2 linked regions of the Macaca fascicularis genome follow. Each later gene encodes a partner of the first gene's protein in a complex. Links are inferred from orthologs where the notes say so. Each region holds a gene or a part of one and is shown in the gene's direction. Other genes may lie near its edges.

Region 1 (7,795 bases):
TGGCACAGGATCAGGAGGAAAGGCACATTCGAGTCGGCCAGGACCTAGCAGAAGCGACCAAGAGTAGTCAGCTCTGGGGCGGTATATAAAACTGGGGGCGGGAATATGTCCATATACTCCTAATTCCACACTGGGTGAACTGGGTAAGTTAAAAAACAAGATAAAGACATAACTAGGTGAGCCAAGTAAGTTCAAAAATAAAAATGAAGTCCGGGCACGGTGGCTCACGCCTGTAATCCTAGCACTTTGGGAGGCAGAGGCGAGCGAATCACAAGGTCAGGAGATTGAGACCATTCTGGCTAACACGGTGAAACCCTGTCTCTACTAAAAATACAAAAAGTTAGCCGGGCATGGTGGCGGGCACCTGTAGTACCAGCTGCTCGGCAGGCTGAGGCAGGAGAATGGCGTGAACCCGGGAGGCGGAGCTTGCAGTGAGCCGAGATGGCGCTACTGTACTCCAGCCTGGGAAACAAAGCAAAACTCCATCTCAAAAAATAAATAAATAAAATAAAATAAAAATAAATAAAAATGAAGACACACCTTTCAGGGGCTGTGGCCGCACTGTCCAGGAGGGAGGCCCAGCCACAGACACCGTGCTGGCCACACACTCAGCACCCATACATACCTGGGCACCTTCCCCACAGGGTGTCACAAAAGGAAGCCCAAACAGCCACTTTAAACATTTCCTTCACTCTTATGAGAATTGCCAGGAACAAATCTAAGAGGTCATGGCATAGAAAAGAATGAAATGAAACCAGAACATTTTAGCAGCTTTCGCAAAGATGTCATTCTTGAAGTGGTCAAGAGAACCAGTCCAGGAGTCAGGCTGGAGGCATCCTTCCAGCTTCTTGTCATGAATTTTAAACCTCACATCCAGACTCCAAAGCTTAGAGGGTTAAAGAATCAGCTACTGGTCACCAAGCTCATGTGTGCAGGATGAGGGTCACGGCCAGGTTGGCTGCCTTCCGGCCCTGAGCTTTCCTGGGGGGGTGTGTGTGTGTGAACCACCTTCTTTTTTTGTGAGACAGTTTCTTTTTTTTTTTTCTTTTTTGAGACGGAGTTTCACTCTTGTTGCCCAGGCTGGAGTGCAGTGGCATGATCTTGGCTCACTGCAACCTCTGCCTCCTGGGTTCAAGTGATTCTCCTGCCTCAGCCTCCCAAGTAGCTGGGATTACAGGCAAGCACCACCATGCCTGGCTAATTTTTTGTATTTTTAATAGAGATGGGGTTTTGTCATGCTAGCCAGGCTGGTCTCAAACTCCTGACCTCAGGTGATCTGCCTGCCTTGGCCTCCCAAAGTGCTGGGATTACAGGTATGAGCCACTGTGCCCAGCCAGAGTTTCATCTTGTTGCCCAGGCTGGAGTACAATGGTGTGGTCTAGCCTCAGTGCAACTCTGCCTCTCGTGTTCAAGCGATTCTCCCGCCTCAGCCTCCCGAATAGCTGGGATTACAGGTGCCCGCCACCACGCCTGGCTAATTTTTGTATTTTTAGTAAAGACAGGTTTTTACCATGTTGGCCAGGTTGGTCTTGAACTCCTGACCTCAGGTGATCTACCCTCCTCAGCCTCCCAAAGTGTTGGGATTACAGATGTGAGCCACTGCGCCCGGCCAGAACCACCTTCTTTAAAGATGATCAAGCCGGATACAGTGGCTCCTGCCAGTAATTCCAGCGCTATGGGAGGCTGAAGCAGGAGGATCACTTGAGCCCAATTCAAGACCAGCCTGGGCAACACAGGGAGACCTCTTCTCTACATAAAATAAAACAATAAGCCAGGCGTGCTGGCGCCTGTGGTCCCAGCTACTTGGGAGGCTGAGGCGGGAGGATCGCTGGAGTCCGAGAGGTGGAGGCTGCAGTGAGCTGGGATCACGCCACTGCAGTGCAGCCTAAGCAGCGGAGTAAGACCTTGTCTGGAAAATAAATACATAATAAAGGCAGTCAGAGAAGAGGTTTAGCAAATTGCTAAAGAACAAATCTGACGTACCGTCAGTTTCCTTGCAATCTTCATCTGCCAAAATGTCAATTTTGTGAACTGGGGACTAGTCAAAAACTTAAAGTAAACCCACTTTTGTGGAGGTGGGGTCGCTTTGCGTTTCCCAGGCTAGTCTGGAACTCGGCCTGCGCCCCTCAGTACCGGGGCTCCGGGCGGCGCTCGGGTGTCTTGGCCGCAGAATGGACGCGGGAGCAGCTGGGTCCGCGATGAGAGCTGGGTCCGCAGCTCTGCAGGCCTTGCGGGCTGGGGTCCCACGAAACAAAGGCGCAGCCAATGGCCGGGACGGGCAGCGTGGATCACCGGGCCGTGGCTCCCTCGAGGGTCGCGATCTCGGCGCAAAGGAGCCCCTCTACCAAGGTCGCCTAGAGGCGCGACCCCGACATGCGGAGCCGCCCCAGGGGGGCTTCTCCCGGGTCCCTCCTGTCCCGAGGCCGCCGCTTTCTCCGGGGGCCGCGCTCCGCGCCCCAGCCAGGCCCGACCTGCGCCTGCGACTCCGCCTCCACGGCGCTGCCGCTCCGGGTCTGGCCGCCTCCTCCGAGGATTCTGAGGAATCGCCGAGAAGTGTCTGCCAGTGCGAGGCCACAGCACGGGCCCGCCAGGCCCCGCCCCCAGCACCAAGCCCCGCCTACTAGGGAGACCCCCGTCCCCACGAGACCCTCTCGCCCCCGCATCGAGCCTCGCCCCACGAGCCCCGCCCCTGCGCCGACTGTACTTCGCCGAGCCCCGCCCCCGAGCCGAGCCATGCCCTCTAGGCCCCGCCCCCGCACCGAGACTGCGCCCATCAGGCCCCGCCCCTGCGCCGAGCCCCGCCCAGTAGTCCCCGCCCCCGCACCTGACCGCGCCCACCAGCCGGCTCCAACACGCCCGCGCCGCTGACTCTGGCGGCTGGAGGTGTCGACACATTCAACCCGTTCTGCTGGCTCGAGAAGGAAGTCGGCCGTCTCGCTCTGGGTCTCCAGGCCTGCGACCGTCCGCCAGTCGTCCCGAGGTCAGTAGCTCCAGCGGTGCGTCAGCCTGTAGCCAGGCCTCGCCCACGCCGGCCTCGGTCGGGCTTTCGGAAGACGCGCGCCTAGCGCTACTGAGGCCCCTGCTGCGCGGGCGAGTGGCGCGCTCCCGCGGCGGGGCGGGGTCGGGCGGGGCAGGGGTCTGGGGCCGGCAAGGTTGCGCTGGGCAGATGCGCCGCCCGGCGGATGTGGCGCTCCCTGAAGACGTCATCGCGCCGCGAGCTCCCCTTTGGGGCGCGCCGGAAGTCCCTGCGCGGGGCGGGGGGCGGTGCTGCGCCTACTTGGGTCGTTCTCGCGTGGCCGTCGTGCCCCCTAGTGCCTTAGATTCCAGCGAGCTGCGCAAGCAATCTTGGTCCAGCCGAGCTTTCTTCCCCAAATCACGTAACCCTTGACCTTATTCCCCCAAAGAACCGGCCTCCCGGGAAGGACCGCTCTGGCGGAGAAGACTCGAACGGCTCCCACCGCCGGGCGTTGGGGGAAAGGTGGGCGGTCTCGGTCGTGCGAGGTCGGGGAGGGAGGGTCCTTCGCCCTCCATTGCGGAGCCTCGCTCTGGGACCACCGGGAGACCGGACGCCGGGCCGCGAAGCTACCGCCTGGGGCTGCGGGGAGGAGAGCGACAGAACTGGAACGGCTCTTAGGGGCCGGCGTCAGGGCTGTAACCAGGGTTGGCGGAAATGATGAAGGGGCCCCAGGCACATCGTGTTATTGGGCGAGGTTCCAGCCAAGGTGCCCACGCGCCTTGGGGGAAACCAGAGGATTTCTGCACCGTTTCCCGAGGACAGTTGGGTAGTGTTTCAGAACGGCCTTAGAACCAGGCAAGGCCCCTTTCTAGGATGGTGGAAAGCCTAAAGATATGAAAACAGTCTCAAGTGTCGTCTTAGCGATTGGTCGAGTAAACCGAATACGAGCGGGAGACTGCACACGATATTGCCGTTAAGAGTTACATTGGGGCCGGGCGTAGTGGCTCACCCCTGTAATCCCAGGATTTTGGGAGTGCGAGGCGGGCGGATCACCTGAGGTCAGGAGTTCAGGAACAGCCTGGCCAACGTGGTGAAACCCCGTCTCTACTAAAAATACAAAATTAGCCGGGCGTGGTGGCAGGCGCCTGTAATCCCAGCTACTTGGGAGGTTGAGGTAGGAGAATCGCTTGAACTCAGGAGGCGGAGGTTGCAGTGAGCCGAGATGATGCCACTGCACTCCAGCCTGGGTGACAAGAGTGAAACTCCGTCTCAGGAAAAAAAAAAAAAGGTTACATTTGGCTGGATGCGCTGGTGCAGCCTGTAATCCCAGCACTTAGGGAGGCCAAGGCGGGCGGATCTCTTGAGCCCGGGAGTTTGCGACCAGCCTGGCCAACATAGTGAGACCCCCGTCTCTACAAAAAAATGGAAAAAATTAGCCAGTTGTGGTAGTGAACGCCTGTAGTCCCAGCTACTTGGGACGCTGAGGCAGGAGGATGGCTTGAGCCCTGGAGGAGGAGGCTGCAGTGAGCTATTGTCTCATCCCTGCTATAACGAATTTGCCATAGATAGGTTGTTTTACAGGCCTGAAGCTCAGAAGCCCAAAGTGAGTTTTAGGAGGTTAAAATCAAGGTGTTGGCAAGGGTAGTTGCTTCTGGAGGTTCCCAAGGAAAATCTGCTTTTCCAACTTCTAGAGGCCATCTTCTTCCATCTTCAAAACCTGCTGTCTCTGCATAAGAACCCTCACGATAATATGCCGGCCGCCCAGATACCCCAGGATAGCCTTCACATCTCAATATTCCTAATATTTGCAAAGTCCCTTTTGCCACGTAAGGTAACACCACAGGTTTGAAGATTCGGATGTTGACATCTTTCAGGGCCATTCTTATTTTTAAAAAGGTACTGTTGATAATAATAGTTAAAATGTAAAATATTTGAAGGGATTAATTCGGAACCAAAAATGAGTGACTGCGGCCGGTGGAGATCCTGGGAACATGTGTCCAAGGTGGTTGGGGCAGCTTGATTTTATACGTTTTAGAGAGATATGAGGCATCAATGAAATACATTTAAGATATACATTGGTGGGCCGGGCGCGGTGGCTCAAGCCTGTAATCCCAGCACTTTGGGAGGCCGAGACGGGTGGATCACAAGGTCAGGAGATCGAGACCATCTTGGCTAACACGGTGAAACCCCGTCTCTACTAAAAAATACAAAAAACTAGCTGGGCAAGGTGGCAGGCGCCTGTAGTCCCAGCTACTCGGGAGGCTGAGGCAGGAGAATGGCGTAAACCCGGGAGGCAGAGCTTGCAGTGAGCTGAGATCCGGCCACTGCACTCCAGCCTGGGCGACAGAGCGAGACTCCATCTCAAAAAAAAAAAAAAAAAAAAAAAAGATATACATTGGTTTTGGCCAGATCTCAGCTCACTGCAAGTTCCGCCTCCTGGGTTCATGCCATTCTCCTGCCTCAGCCTCCCGAGTAGCTGGGACTACAAGCGGCCGCCACCTCGCCCGGCTAGTTTTTTTTTTGGTATTTTTTAGTAGAGACAAGGTTTCACCGTGTTAGCCAGGATGGTCTCTATCTCCTGACCTCGTGATCCACCCGTCTCGGCCTCCCAAAGTGCTGGGATTACAGGCTTGAGCCACCGCGCCCGGCCAGAACTCTTGACTGATAGAAACGGAGGGTGTGTCCAAAGTTTTCAGGAGGGCCCAGCGGCTCTCCAAAACCTCTCCTCACAGCCTCGCCCATTTCGCGTCAGCCGCAACAAATCATCGTCAATCTGTTCCATGATCTCCAGTCTGGTAGCAAAAAGGAGTATCTCAGGTTTGCTTTATTTTAGTGTTTGGGGAATTCTTGGAATCCGGCCTGTTTGTGGGAGGAGGCAGGGGCTGCCAGAGCTGGAGGGATGGTCTGGGGGAAGGCGGGTGCAGGCGCCGGTTCCGGGAGATTAAGTGGAAAGGCTGGTTGGGGGCAGACGGTGGGAAACGGGATGCGGACGTCAGGCTTCACCCCCAACCGAGGGGGGAGTGGGGAAGCTGGGGTAGTAACTGGAACGAGGCCCGGGGACTGAGCTGGGCACGCTGGAGGCTCCGCCCGCCCCCGCCTGGGCGGAAGGAGCGCGAAGCGGCTCGGGCCTTGGGTCTGCGGCGGCGGCGCCGGGTGAGCGGGCGCGGGCGGGGGCAGAGAAGCAGGGGAGACCCACTCCGTGTTTTTCTGAGGTTCCCTCCCAGCCCTTTAGTATGCGGCAGGGTGTCCAGAACTAGCGGGTTCGAGGGACTCGACGCGGGCGGGGGTCCCAGGGACCAGGAACGTTTGCACGTCGCCTGAGCGTGGCCCGTGTCTCCCTAGGGGGTGGCCCTGCGCCCCTCGGAGGTCGCCGTGTCCACGTCCCCATCACGTCGGAACCGAAGGACCTGAATTGGCCTCCGAACGGCCCCTCCCGTGTGGCTCCCCGGGGCGGGGGGGCTCAGGTCTTGGGCGCTGCGGAGACCTCCCGCCCTAAGGTTGGGAAGGTCTGGTTTCCGGATAAGGGACCGTTAGGGCCGCTGTTCAGACCTCTGCCTTGACCAAAGCAGGCTGCTGGCTGGTGGTGGCGGGTTCCTGAGTGTGCTTTAGCCCTGGCTGTGTAGGGAGCCAGGGCCTTCTCCAGTCACAGAGAAGGGCGTTTACACCCGCATTTTCATGGGGTTCTCAGTGGGATCTGTGACCCACAGAGGTTCAGAAGGGCCTTCCTGGGATACAGCAGGGTCTGGCCAAGCCTGAGGGGTGGGGACGGGGCCACTCCCACAGCCCTAGTTCCAGATGGTCACAGGAGCGCTGGCCTCCCTGAGCCCCCACCAAGCTTTCCCAGGAGGAGGACACCCTGGGGCCACCTTTCATCTGGCTATGGAGGACACAAGAGTGTCGGGCTGGATGTGCGGAGCATGTGCAGCCTGGGCAGCTGCCTGAGGCTCTCCTTCCACCCCCACTGCCGTCCACAGCACCTCCCGATGACTAGATTCTGGAGTCAGAGTTTGGGTGACCACACCCTGGTCGGTTTTGCTCACGCGCTTCGGGTCGGGTGGATTCAGTTCCTCCGCGTGGGGCCATGGGGTGTCACCGCCCTTTACCACTGTCCTTGCAGGCCTGGCGCCCAGGCGTGTGGACCCGAGCCCAGCCTTGCCTCTTTCCTCCTGGTTGGTACCAGGGGCCTCTTCCCTCCACTCATCCGGAGTGGACCAGCCGCCTCTGAACCAGCCCCGGGAAGAGGAGTGCCTGGCACACAGACTCAGGCAGCTGGGGGTGTCGGGGCACCAGGAGCCTCTCGAGCGGTCCTGTTGGCCGTCTTTCTGAAGGGCAGCTGGGGTTGCGTCATTTCCTGGAGTGGATCCTGCCAGCTCCCTGGGGCTTTTGGATGAGAGCCTCTCCCCAGCCCTGCCCGCCCTTCCCCTCAGTGTGGCATCAGGGCTGCTGCTTCCAGGGAGGCCTCCTGGCCGTCGAGCCTCCTCTCCAGGTTCCTGCCCTGCTGTAGTCCCCAGGCCAGTGCTTGGCAGGTGCTCAGGGAATGTATCCACCTACCGAGGTTTGGGGTGGCTGTCTCTGCCTGACCACTTCCCTTCCCCAGGCCCCTGGCAGGTACCTGAGCTGTGCTCGCAGGGCTTCGGGAACCTCCTTCCATATTCAGGGCCTGTGCCTGGGGAGGTTTCAGGATGTGGCAGCCGTGCCCGTCCCAGGCTGACTCTCCCAGCTTGCCTGGCAGTCTGGCCTCTGGGCTGGTGTGCCGTGGGACAGGGGATGTGCCCTGGCCTGGTGCAGAGTCCCCAGCCCCAGAGGGGGGCCATGGAAGCTGGCACCCCAAGTGGCTGC
Region 2 (6,597 bases), on another chromosome or scaffold:
TTGTTATAGTTGAGGAAAAAGAAGAAAGGCTTAGTCCTTTCCTCTTTCATGCCAGAAACTTAACCAAAGGGGTCAGATCTACTTATTCAATGGCTTTCAGAGGAGATATGCAGGAAGCCCCATGGAAGCGGGAAGGCCTAGGGCTACCTTTCTGAGGTTCAAGAGACCAGGAAGAGCTCCATACACCAAATATCTTTAGAACTTAGGTAAGTTAAATATTACTCTATTTAGTGCAATTTAATTAACCTGCACCATATTATTATGGAAATCTTGTATTACTTTTAATGGCAAAAATTGCAATTACTTTTGCACCAACGTAGTAAATAGTGTGCATTGTCTTTCCCATAGATAGCCACTGCTGCATTAGGGAAATCTGTGTGCAGGAAGGTATTGATGGTTTGGTACCTCCCTATCAGCAGGTTAAGAGCAAATATTACAAGGGTACCCTGGGGCTGAAGTAATTAAAAGCATTAAACATTATAATTTTGCACATAAATGCTATGCAAAAAAGACATTGATTAATCCAGTGTACTCAACAGTGGTTTTTTACCATAAACAGTCTTTGTCTGGGACAGTATTTTAGAATATTCATCAGTTTCCAAAAAAGGGACTTAATACTGGGACATAATTCTGACTACTACTCTCACTGGAAGTATGGATTGGGTCTGAAAATGTGTCATTAAATTAGGCTCTAAGACAAGTTAATCTAATAAAGTAAAGAACCCGGGAGATGTGGCTCGTGTCTGTTAAAGACAAAATCATGCTGAAGTTACAGAGAATTTTGTTTAACATTGGCTTATACTTTATTCCTGCTTCGTATAAAACAGTCTTCTCCCAAAGGTCGTAAATACCAAAGTAGATCATTTCTACTAGTTCTGCAGGCAAATGAAGGTAGTTGGAAGTGTACACAGGAAATCTATGCAAGGGAGAATCAGAAAAATCTCATGAGCATGTGCTGAATACAATTTCAGTAGTCGGGAGTGGTGGCTCATGCCTATAATCCCAGCACTTTGGGAAGGTGAGGGGGGCGGATCGCCTGAGGTCAGGAGTTTGAGACCAGCCTGGCCAACATGGTGAAACCCTGTCTCTATAACAAATACAAAAATTAGCCGGGCATTGTGGTGGGTGCCTGTAATCCCAGCTACTTGAGATGCTGAGGCAGGAGAATCGCTTGAACTCAGGAGGCAGAGGTTGCAGTGGGCCAAGATCCCTCCACTGCACTCCATCCGGGTGACAATAGCAAGACTTTGTCTCAAAAACAACAACAAAAAAAAAAACCACATACACAATATTAAAGGATAAATATGGTTGCAAATTGGGCAGGTTATGGTCTGAGTTATTTCTTAAGACACTGCAACAAGTCAGATGCGTCATAAGCACAGATGTCTCCAGGAGCCAGGCAGGTGACATTACTGAACAGACAGGATGAAAGTCAAGAGGCAGAGATGGAGTCAGAGAACAGCCCTGAGCTAGAGCCCTTTCCACAGATGGAGCTTTACTCAGCTCTAATTGATACAACACAGTAATGGAGACACAGTGCACCAATCAACATCATGCGATTTTTAAAGATAAGACAGTGATGAAAACTTTTAGTGAACTATTCCAATGTCAAACGTTATCTTCCAAACCAAACATTATAAATAGCACTGTGTAGGCTGAAAAGAAACACTGTTTAGTCAAGTACATGCCCTGGGGCTGCGGTCTCTGTCTTTTGCCTCATACTATAGACACTTGAGTGCAAATCTTTCTACCCAGTGTGACTGTCAGCATCACAGAGGGGATACTCTACGTATCATTCACCTTTACATTCTCATCACCTACAAAAATGATCTCCACACAATATACATGAAAAAACAAACTCGCCTCATGATAAAGCTGCTAATGACTGTCGGCCAGAGCAGGACTTCAAGGCAGAACACTATTAGCTGCACATTGAGTCCTCGCCAGGTCCCCTTTGTGTCCACATTTACCTAGGGACTCCAGTGATAAAATTACTGCATTTCTAAATGACAGGAAAATTGGATGGTAGCAAAAATTATGCAGATTAATGGTTGGAAAGTATATGATATCATTTAAGGATCTAATTTCAATTTTCTAATCTCAAAGCTAGACCACCAGATTTAACATCTCTTAGTACCCACGACTTACCCCTGCAATTCACTTCCCACCTCCATACAATCTCCCCACATGCCCAGAATGTTCATCTCTTCCCGAAAGCCCCTGAAAACCCCCTGCTTTTACCTTAGGACCCTGCTGCAATGAAACTTTTTTTTTAACTCTTCCTTGTCCCTCAAGCCAAGTGATTTCCTTCACCCTCAGTGTCCCCATGAAATCATGTTCACACAAGTGCAATTACCTCTCTCACACTGTAATTCAATTATATGTCTACAATTACCTTCCTGTGTTTCTCTGAGGGCCAAGAATAAGTGTATGCTTTGTGTATCAAACTGTACATTTGATTTCTATACTTTCAGGAACACAGTGCTCTGTCCTTAAATGTTCATTTTGTAAATACAGAACCATTTTCTTGTTAATATCACAAAATGAAACTTATCAGGAAGATGAATGACAACCCCAGAACACACTGTTTTGTAGAAAATACCATAGGCTGAAAAGAACACAGGAATACCAAGTGCTAGGCTGGAATCTTTCATGACACCAAATGTTCATTCATTCTCTCCCAGATTTTACGACTTTCCTCAGTGTATTTTTAGGTTGTGTAACTTTACACAAAGTGGAAGCAATAATGAGAGCAAGACTTAAAAGAAAGTGAATCCAATGCAAGAGGAGAAAAGGAAAACCCTCAAATATGTGAAGCAGATTGTTTTAATAATCTACAGAATCTTGTGTCTCAAGAAGTTAATAGCTCAAGTTTCCAGCAAAGAGTGGTGGATGAGATGGAGAGCATTTGTGTGAGAGAGAACCAAGGATATTACTAACAATGAAAGGCAAGCTGGCTTCCTCCTGGGCAAACAGCCCTCTGTGGCTCTATTTGTTCTAACTACTATGCCCTGCCTTCGTGCACTTTGGTCATTTAGGGGCCTGCCAGAGGACAGTTACAAAATCTGTGGTCATTCTGCAGGCAACATATAGTTTTCATCCAGAGTCCAGATCCAACCAGCAAAACTCTGTCTTACACAGAATGACTTGGAATTAGAGTCCTCATAGCAGAAAGAGCAGCAGGGCTATCCTTGGGTATCCATTGCTCAGCCAAGTTATCAAATAAAAAGGCTGATTGATGGGCCAGACCCGGTGGCTCAAGCCTGTAATCCCAGCACTTTGGGAGGCCAAGACGGGCGGATCACGAGGTCAGGAGATCGAGACCATCCTGGCTAACATGGTGAAACCCCGTCTCTACTAAAAAATACAAAAAACTAGCCGAGCGAGGTGGCGGGCGCCTGTAGTCCCAGCTACTCAGGAGGCTGAGGCAGGAGAATGGCGTAAACCCGGGAGGCAGAGCTTGCAGTGAGTTGAGATCTGGCCACTGCACTCCAGCCTGGGTGACAGAGCGAGACTCCATCTCAAAAAAAAAAAAAAAATCTGATTGCACAAGCGGACTATGTACCCATCTGTGGGTTTCTACAAGGCCAAGAGTCAGACCCTCCCTCCTGGCTCTGCTGGCCCAACCCACCAGGAGATGCTTTATTTAAACAGTTCCAAGTAGGGAAGAACAGTTGCCCCTGAAGGCCAGAACAACCAGCTGGATCAGTTCTCACAGGAGCCGCAGCGCGGAGACTGGGTAAGTCAGCAATCCCCAGAGCTGGGACAGGAGGGGCAGCGACCGGGCAGCACCTGAGGAAGAGGTGGGCTGAACTTAGTGCTTAGGAGATGTGGCCCACTTTGGGGACAGGAAGAAAAAGGAAATGGGACCCCAGAGTGGCAGCAGAGGGGCCTGTGGGGTGAGACACCGGATGGGGGAGTAGTTACTTCTCTTCTTTTCTCACAGGAAAACATGGTTCCAAAACTGTTCACTTCCCCAATTTGTCTGCTTCTTCTGTTGGGGCTTATGGGTGTGGAAGGCTCACTTCATGCCAAACCCGGACAATTTACCTGGGCTCAGTGGTTTGAAATCCAGCATATAAATATGACCTCTGGCCAATGCACCAATGCAATGCTGGTAATTAACAATTATCAACGGCGATGCAAAAATCAAAATACTTTTCTTCTTACAACTTTTGCTGATGTAGTTCATGTCTGTGGTAACCCAAGCATGCCCTGCCCTAGCAACACAAGTCTCAACAATTGTCATCATAGTGGAGTCCAGGTGCCTTTAATCCACTGTAACCTCACAACTCCAAGTCGAAGGATTTCAAATTGCAGGTATACACAGACAACAGCAAACAAGTACTACATAGTTGCATGTAACAACAGCGATCCAGTACGGGACCCTCCACAGTATCCAGTGGTTCCAGTTCACTTGGATAGAGTCATCTAAGCTCCTGTATCAGCACTCCTCATCATCACTCATCTGCCAAGCTCCTCAATCATAGCCAAGATCCCATCCCTCCATGTACCCTGGGTATCAGCATCTGTCCTCATCAGTATCCATACCCCTTCAGGTTTCCTGAGCTGAAGTCCCTTGTGAACCCTGCAATAAACTGCTTTGCAAATTCATCTGGAAGTGTCTGTGTGTCTTCTTTGGCCACTCTGCTGTCATTTAGTGACAATCTACTCCAGAAATTTTTCTTTCCTCTAACCTGAGACTTGTGGGAAATAGAGATTTGAGGATAAGAGACTCTTTCTGTCATGAAGTAGCACAGACTTATCCCTCTCCCTGCTTTAGGTTGAGAAGCTGAGGTCACAACTGATATCGACCAACTGTCGAAGACTCTTGCTTTGATCAAGCTTTAGTCATCTCCTCTGAACCCTCATCATAACTAGGTCATCCTGTTGGACTTACTAGTCCTTCCTTGTAGAGTCATTTATAATTACTTTTATTTTTATTCTTTTTTTTTTTTTTTTTTTTTTTTTTTTTTTTGAGACAGAGTCTCGCTCTGTTGCCCAGATTGGAGTGCAGTGGCGAGATCTCGGCTCACTCCAAACTCCACCTTCTGGGTTCAAGCGATTCTCCTTCCTCAGTCTCCCAAGTAGCTGGGGTTACAGGTACGTGCCATCACATCCAGCCAATTTTTGTAATTTTTAGAGAGTGGGTTTCAACATGTTGGCCAGGCTGGTCTCCAACTTCTGACCTTAGGCAATCCACCCTCCTCAGCCTCCCAACATGCTGGGATCAGAGGCATGAGCCACCAGTACCAGACCTAAAGTTAGGTTTTACAGAAGTCCTCCTAACTTGGTTTGTCATGAATCTCTCATCCTCAATATTTGACCAAATTCCTTAATTCCCCCATCATTCTCCATGTGATACCTGATTCCTGGCCTGACTTCAAAAAAAACCAAAAATCCAATTACATCAACCTAGCATTGGTCTCCCTAGTCTTGATATCTCCTCTAGGCAATTTTCCATCCGCTGACCCCTCCCCACACACCAACCTATAACTTGACTCTAGATCTCCACTTGTTTTAGTTGTATTTCACCATTGAGCCCAATTTGATACTGAGGTCCCATTTGATGCTTTATGGTATAAGTTTGGTTTTTATTGACATGATTTCTATCCCAAGATATATAGGAGCTGCAGTGAATAAGCTGAAAATGCACGTGTTTCATTATGATTTATGAATGATAAATTTTGATAGGATTGAACGTTATGATAGAAAACACAAAAACAGAAAGTAGAAAAAGTCAAGAATGCTATAAATAAGGTGAAATCAAGATTTTAAAAAAAGTTTAGCCTCAGAGATATTCCTTTTAAATGAGCACATCAAATCTCCAGCTATTAGCAATTGTACTAGACGTGGATCCAAGGTTTGAGTCAAATGTGCAATAAGATAAATTGTTCAGACAGCAATAGGGACAGATTGTAATACCGCCTGGAAGAGAGATGGGCATCTTTCCCAAAACTTCCATGTCCTGGAGATGGGGAGCCGCTGGTCACGTGGGAAGGGGAAGGGGAAAGAGGAGGACGCGGAAGTGGGAACACTCATGAAGGTGAGATGACTCCTGCCCATTCTGCCCTCCATAGCTATCCGCAATGGTGAGTCAAAGGGTTCATTCAACACCTGTCAGGAAGGGCACAGCCTCAAGAAGTAGGGATTTGTAGACCCAGAGAGAGAAGAAATGGATAATAAGAGCCCTTGCCCTGGCCTCCATTACAGGGCTTCACTCAGGAATCCATGAGAAACAGGAAGGGGAAGCCCTTTCTTGCAAGCTGTGGACAGGTGCAGCACTCAGATGATTGTGCCGGGGACAGAGTGGGTCTTTTTGGATGGCCTGAGTCACAATACAACAGAGATACCACGTCATCAGATCTGCACCTTGGTCCTTCAGTCTGAGATTTCTGACTTCTATATTTCTGCTCCTCTTCTAGACCCTCAGAAACAGCAATTTCCATTCCTCAGATGACTCCATGTCAGTAATAGTGACTCTCATTGGCACCAGACAGCAGCTGTATTGAAGTCTCTCCTCAGGAGAAGCCATTGAGATCTTGCTTCTCCAAGGTGGGGCTATGAACTTAAAAGTTTGCACAGGGACACTGGGTT

The links.
Region 2: the proteins of RNH1 (region 1) and RNASE2 are in contact, whole or in part, in a crystal structure (PDB 2BEX), measured with the Homo sapiens proteins. The link is inferred for Macaca fascicularis from reciprocal best matches to the Homo sapiens genes RNH1 and RNASE2. Residues at the interface, in NP_002930.2 of Homo sapiens: Gln11, Cys12, Arg34, Asp36, Asp37, Arg64, Ser65, Gln93, Asn94, Asp122, Gln148, Glu150, Tyr151, Thr176, Lys205, Trp262, Trp264, Glu265, Trp319, Lys321, Gln347, Ser349, Asn350, Trp376, Ala378, Asp379, Glu402, Asp404, Asn407, Cys409; in NP_002925.1 of Homo sapiens: Lys28, Trp34, Trp37, Gln41, His42, Ser47, Gln49, Thr51, Asn52, Gln55, Val56, Asn59, Gln61, Arg62, Arg63, Cys64, Lys65, Asn66, Gln67, Ser91, Asn92, Arg95, Asn97, Asn111, Leu112, Thr113, Thr114, Pro115, Asn119, Ile120.

What each region holds. Positions count from the first base shown.
Region 1 is NC_088388.1:402,057-409,851, reverse strand, and holds the start of RNH1 (ribonuclease inhibitor), read left to right. Parts: upstream 1-3,256; 5' UTR 3,257-3,478; intron 3,479-4,647; 5' UTR 4,648-4,706; coding exon 4,707-4,787; intron 4,788-5,688; coding exon 5,689-5,773; intron 5,774-6,068; exon of another isoform or gene 6,069-6,109; intron 6,110-6,298; exon of another isoform or gene 6,299-6,453; intron 6,454-7,795. UniProt on the Homo sapiens protein: Ribonuclease inhibitor which inhibits RNASE1, RNASE2 and angiogenin (ANG). May play a role in redox homeostasis. Required to inhibit the cytotoxic tRNA ribonuclease activity of ANG in the cytoplasm in absence of stress.
Region 2 is NC_088381.1:88,600,722-88,607,318, forward strand, and holds RNASE2 (non-secretory ribonuclease), read left to right. Parts: upstream 1-3,672; 5' UTR 3,673-3,739; intron 3,740-3,946; 5' UTR 3,947-3,952; coding exon 3,953-4,435; 3' UTR 4,436-4,614; downstream 4,615-6,597.